Linked DNA regions of Oryzias latipes. The protein of the gene in region 2 purifies or fractionates together with the protein of the main gene of each other region. This does not show direct contact. Links are inferred from orthologs where the notes say so. Each region holds a gene or a part of one and is shown on either strand. Other genes may lie near its edges.

The links. The genes of interacting proteins can lie anywhere in the genome.
Region 1: the proteins of histone acetyltransferase p300 (region 2) and runx2 purify together in Homo sapiens (affinity purification with western blotting; 4 studies listed by BioGRID). This does not show direct contact. The link is inferred for Oryzias latipes from reciprocal best matches to the Homo sapiens genes EP300 and RUNX2.

What each region holds. Positions count from the first base shown.
Region 1 is NC_019882.2:3,176,140-3,179,144, reverse strand, and holds part of runx2 (runt-related transcription factor 2), read right to left. Parts: intron 2,797-3,005; coding exon 2,635-2,796; intron 1-2,634. UniProt on the Homo sapiens protein: Transcription factor involved in osteoblastic differentiation and skeletal morphogenesis. Essential for the maturation of osteoblasts and both intramembranous and endochondral ossification.
Region 2 is NC_019866.2:19,344,811-19,348,019, reverse strand, and holds the end of histone acetyltransferase p300, read left to right. Parts: coding exon 1-1,406; 3' UTR 1,407-2,651; downstream 2,652-3,209. UniProt on the Homo sapiens protein: Functions as a histone acetyltransferase and regulates transcription via chromatin remodeling. Acetylates all four core histones in nucleosomes. Histone acetylation gives an epigenetic tag for transcriptional activation.

The DNA of each region.
Region 1 (3,005 bases), on a different chromosome or scaffold from region 2:
TGGAAACACTTTGAGCAGAAACAGTTTCCATAAGATCCATAATGAGGCAGGGCTGAGCTCTGATGTGGCTCCTCTCCTCGCCTCCCGTCGGCTCCAGGATTTCACAAAAAAAAAATAAAAAAAATAATAATAAAAAGGGAGCTGCTCCATTTAGCTGTTTCGTCCCTCATTTTGCTTCATCCCTTAAAGAATACCACCCCCCACCCCAAAAAAAAGGAAAAACCACTAACTGGCTGCGGTGAGCTCTTTGCTGGGAGAAGAGTTTAAGGACTATTTTTTTTTTTTTGCCCCCCTCCCACCCGTCGCCTCATGGTGGTTTAGTCCAGCCATGGCGCTCTTATCATAAATCACCAGGCGTCTTCTGTGTCACCATGTCTGCTGTGAGAGGACAGGGGGTGGCGGGGAAGACGAGGGAAGAGGAGGCGAGTTTATGCGCATGGCGGCATTGCAGAGTCTTTTGGCGAGATAGCACATGCTGCCAATTAAAAGCCTTTATGAACCCACTCTGATAAAAAGTGTGTTTAGGTGGTTTTCACATGGTCTTGTGGCACTTTTCTGATGACGGAGAACATATATAAAAATAATCAAGCTTAAAGTTGCATGTCTGAGTAATTGTATTTAAGAAAAAAATTGGTTTGAAAAAGATCGTATTTGTTACGTAGAAAATACGCTAGAAAGAAGCTCCCTGCTCCGCTCCATTCTGATGCATCCACTTGTAGACGATCAGATCCGTGTACGTCTTTGTTTGCCTCGTCCGAGCTGGCATCTGGTGGAAACTGTACAGCTGAAATGTTCCTAGTGGGCGGAAGGGTTTTAAGCTAGCAGGAGAGAATGTAAAAAACAGATGGGTGTCGGGAAGTGGGGGCGGGGTTGCTGTGCATCAACGGTCCAGCTCACAATTTAGATGCAAGTTTCTAATAAACTACTGACGCTCTGCAGAAACTACCATGTTTTTTTGGGTGCAACTTGTATGAGAATTAAAAATAAATAAATAGCAACAACCACTAGAGGGCACTCACTGCAGGTGTTAAAGTATTTGCTACTGAGACCGACGCAGAAGAAGATGCCACGCTGAGTCTTACAGAGTTGTTCCAGTGGCACAGAGGATGAAAATTTCAATGGATTTGAAGTGATATAAAGAGTTTAGTTGACTTGTTAGCTTGTTCTTTATAATGTGGTTATCTTGATAATTGTCCATATGTTGAGCTAATTTACTAGATTCCTCCTTTCGTGAAGCTTTACTGTGGTAGTGAAGCGTGCAGATGTTCCTTTATTATGATTTGCTTTGCAAGATGAAATGTTCCTGTATTTTGTTAAATAGTTTTCTTTCAAAAGTGTGATTTATATATCAATTATATAATGATTTATTGTGCATTTTTTTGGCTGATGCGACTTATACTCCGGTGGGGCCTATAGTCCAAAGAAAATACAGTATGATCTAGAAAATAACACAGGTTTTTTTATTTTAACTTAAAAATGGCATAGATAAAAAAAAAACTGGGGACACTTTCTTTATTCTATTTTTTCATGCCTGTATTTTTATTGGGTCTTGTATATTTTTTGATTAGATTTATAGTATTTACCACTCCAAGGATGCTATGATTTAGTTGTATCATTATGTAGAATGACAATAAAGCATTCTGATTTGAAAATAGACCAAAAGGAGATCGGAGTGGGTTGTTAAAGTTTCCAGCAGATCAATTAAATTCTAATAATAATAGTAATTGTCCCTTGACCGACATTGTTCAGTAAACTCTTGTCTCTTCCTTTACAATGTTGGAGCCACTGTTCATTCTGGAAGGCGGCCTGTGATGACGGGCAAGACCAATGTTTGGAGGTGGGTCTTACAAACATCCCTTCTCGATGAAATGTTATGACTCGACCTGATAAACCGGCACAAGCCGAAGCCTCTTTATCGCAGTGTTTCTGTACGATCTCCAGGAATTTGAGCGGCACTTCCCTCTGGAGGTGCGAGGTGTGCAGCGGGGCCTGTGCACGCTCTCACATGTGCAGCGCCTCGAGAGCAAAGCTCCACACTCGCAGAGATGAAAGCCGAAGGGGAAGACCAAACAAATCAAAGGCTGGCGGAGCAGCTGGCTGGATCTGAAACTCTGTCTGATTCATGGCTGCAACGCCGAATCGCTCCAAGCATGCAGACGTATATAAACATACACAAACAGAGGAGAGGAGAACAGGAAAAAAAAAAAGAGTGATGGAAAAAAAATCGCACATGGCAGAGAGTCAAACAGGTGTACGAAGGAGAAACTTGTCTTGAGCTTTTACAGGAGATTTCAGGAGGAACAAATTGCAACACAGATGCTGCACATATTGCAAGCTACAATGCCTTGAGAAAGTTGTCTATCACTGCAGGACCTTTTAAAGTTTCAAGCCTCTTATTATTTGTGGGCCTGTTATTACTCGTGCTGCTTTGGGATCAAAGGAGTTCTAGAAAAAAAGGAAACATCTAGTTTATTCGCTGAAACGTCATTTGAACTTCTTTGCAGAAACGACTCGTGACTCACAGCTTAAATTAGCTTGCTGGTAAACTTTTTTTTCCCCCTCTTGTAAACGTTTCTGCTTTTGTTTGTCCCCGTGACAACTCGTTTTTCCCCTAACGAGTTGGAGGATTTCTACCTGGCAATCGTCTGGGCACGTCACTGATGGCTGGCAGGCCCGTGCCCCTGCTGGAGGAGAGGGGGGTGGTGGAATGGACTGAGGGGGACGCCATGGGACTCAGGTAGGACGGATACGTCTGTTCGTATGACCAGGGAGGAGAGGACTGGGACTGACGAGGGTCTAGTGGGGAGAAATGGAGGGAGAGAAGAAAGAGAAAAAAAAGGACAGAGAATGAAAGACAGAATCATCACAGGTCGACTCATCCAGAGGCTCCACATGTTGGTGCTAAATCATCACTAAAACATCTGTAGGGACAAATGGAGGGTTTGACTGTAAACAGATCTACCTGTTTGCCTTATTCAGCATCGTCTGAGTTGCTGAGATACAAA
Region 2 (3,209 bases):
GGGGTCCTGGTGGACCAGGAGGAGTCCCAGGAGGACCGGTGGGTAACATTGCAGGAGGAAGCCAGCAGGGCAGCATGAATCCTGTGGGGGCCGGTCAGCAGGGAATGCACATGGGGGGTCAAGGAGGAACAAATGTCAACATGAGCCCCATGGCTCAGTTGCAGCAGGTCCAGCAGCAGCAGCAGCAGCAGCTTCAGCAGTTGCAGCAGCAGCAGTTGCAGCAGCAGCAGAGGCCAATGCTCAGTGGGTTACAGCAGCAGCAGGTTGCAGCTCTCCAGCAGCAGCAACAACAGCAGCAGCAGCAGCAAGGCGTGGGTCGAGGAATGCCGGGTCAGGGGCCCCAGATGGGAAACCTGAACGGAGCCCAGTTTAGAGAGTTGCTGATGAGAAAGCAGCTACAGCAGCAGCAACAACAACAACAACAGCTGCAGCAACAACAGCTGCAGCAGCAACAACAGCAGCAACAGCTGCAGCAGCAGCAGCAACAACAACAGCAGCAGCAGCACCAACAACAGCAGCAGCACATGGGAGTAAACCACAGTCAGTTCCAACAGCCACAGCCCCCCCAGGGGCAGGGCTTCATAGGGCAGCAGGGCATGCAGCCTCCAGCAGTGGGGCAGGGGCCTCCTGGGGGGCCACCCCTTCAGCAGCCCGGTGGACAGCCGGGTCAGCAGGCACCAAGTTACCCCGGATCAGTCGCTCAGCAGCAGGCCACGGTTGCACTGCAGCAGAGACTGCAGCACCAGCACCACCTCCAGATGCAGCAGCAACAGAACGCCATGGGGGGTGATGTAGGGCCAGGTGGAGGGAGTATCAGTGGTCCGCAGCAAGCACCCCAAGTCCCTCAACCCACCCAAATTGGACCCCCACCTTCAACCGCTCAAGCCCGGCTTCAACAGACTCTGCACCAAAGGATGTTCCATCAGCAGCAGCAGCAGCAGCAGCATCTCGGCCCGGGAGGGTCACCGGCCCAGCACACCAACCCCATGAGCCCCCAGCAGCCTCAACAGGTGAACCAGTCCCCCCACCCGCACCTGCAGGGACAGGGCATGTCCACATCTCTGGCCAACCAGGTCCGGTCCCCACAGCCCTCACCCAGACCTCAGTCCCAGCCGCCTCACTCCAGCCCGTCCCCACGCATGCAGCCACACCCCTCCCCGCTTCACATCTCCCCCCAGATGCAGACGGGCTCTCCTCATCCCAACCACCTGAACCAGCACCATCCAGGAATGATGGCACCTCAACAACCACAACCGCCAGCAGCCCAGCAGAACGCCATGGAGCCGTTCGGCTCGGATGAGATGCTGTCCCAGCTGAGCAGCATGGCTGGTCTGCACGGGCCAGGCGGCAGCGGTCAGGACCCAATGGGCCCCAACATCGGCCACAGCTCCTTAGACCACATGTAGGGTGGTCGTCAGCGTGTGGAGCGGAGCGGAGCGGCAGTGGAAATCCGCACAAACTGCACTCACCCAGGACAGTGTTATTGTTATTACTAAGCTTTTTTTAAACTATTATTAAATGTTATTTAAAATGTTTTCAATAAAGATGCATTGAACTGAACTTCCTATGGGAGATGAACATGAAATCAAGCAGTCGTTAAATGAATGAAAATGAATTGTAACTTATTGCTGTTAAATGTTTTCTTTGCCAATTAGGGATGGGGGGGGGGGGGTCTTTCACATATCATCCCACAAGTCACCCCGTGTACTGCAGAGGAAAGTTGATTCTATTTTTTTGAGGGGGGGTATGTGAAAAAAGTACTTGCCTTTTGAAAAACTGTTCTGTTTTTATAGGTTTTTAAAGTCCAAAATTATGATTTAATGCAAATATCTTTATATCAGTTGAGCTCCTTTTTTTATTTTATTCTTTGGGGCCTTTTTTTGTTTTTGTTTACGCTTCACCTCAAATCCAAACATGATGCTTTTTTTTTTCTTTCCTTTTTCTAATGTTTGGGTTTTATTTATTCTTTTCCTTCTGGGGGTGGGCGTCTAGGAGACTGCTACAGTTCCTACAGAAATATATTTTTGGTATTGACTGTTAAGATGGGGGGGGGGTTAGTATATGTTATTTCACTTTAGATGTCTTGAGTTGGGAGTGATGTCAGTGTTTGATTGCAGTGCGCTCTGCGCCGGAAGGGCGGCGGCGGACACATCTTTGGAAGCCCTCTCCAACATGCAAGCCCCCTCCCTCGAATGTGTGTGCACTCCTTCCTGTTAAAGACACTTCAAATGGAGCTGTAGAGCTTTGGGGAGGGGGGGTGCATACCTTTGTGCCTGTAACATTTTAAATACCTGGGGTGGGGCGGGCTTGTTCTAGTGTTTTTAGGATTCTGCTGTTTTCTGTAAACAGAGGATGATGATGATGATGATCCAAATGAACTGTGTTGCACAGAAACGAGGAGAAAGAAGGAGACCCCCCCCCACACACACAAATACACCCGACTCGGTCTCTTTCTCCCTCGTCCCCTTTGCTGCTTCCCTCAACTTTATATCCTCCTCTGGGGGGGACGTGGAGCTCCTTCTTTACAAACTCCATCCTCTTTATCTTTCTGCTCAGAACTTTGGGAGTTTAATTTAATATTTTTTACTGTACAAAGGAAACAAACTGGACTCGAATACTGTTTTTATAATAAAACAAAAATTACCAATTTGGTTGTGTCTTCTAAGGATATTTCTTCAAAAGATGCACTTCCTGCTTCTACCTTAGATTTAGAATGAAGTTTTTTGTTTACAAACAAAACAAAGGTAACAGCCTGCCATGCAGTAATGCAATGAGTTTCCAAACTCTTAGAAAACCAAAGTATGCGTTTGGTTTCTGTTCAGCAAAATGCAAAAAAACAAACAAACCTGACTTTCAGCACTGAAAATGCTGAAAGTTGCTTTTTTTCTCCAAAACATTTTTCTTTTATTCTGAATAATTACAAAGGAAAGAAGGAAGCTGGACACAAATATTAAAATGTCAAAATTGGAATAATGGATTTAAGGTGTTCAAACACCCCAAAGCCCGCTATCAGACCGCTCTGCTTTCCGTAAATCTTCAGCTTTAAATCGCTTGGAGTAATACTCCCTCTAGCGGCCGTAGATGTTATTGCGACCTGATATGTGTTCAACGGAGTTCGAGAAGGGTCAAAAAAGATTTCGTTTATTCTGACACACATGAGACAGCATAACAAATTCTATCGAGAATATTAGAACTTTCTCTTAAATGTT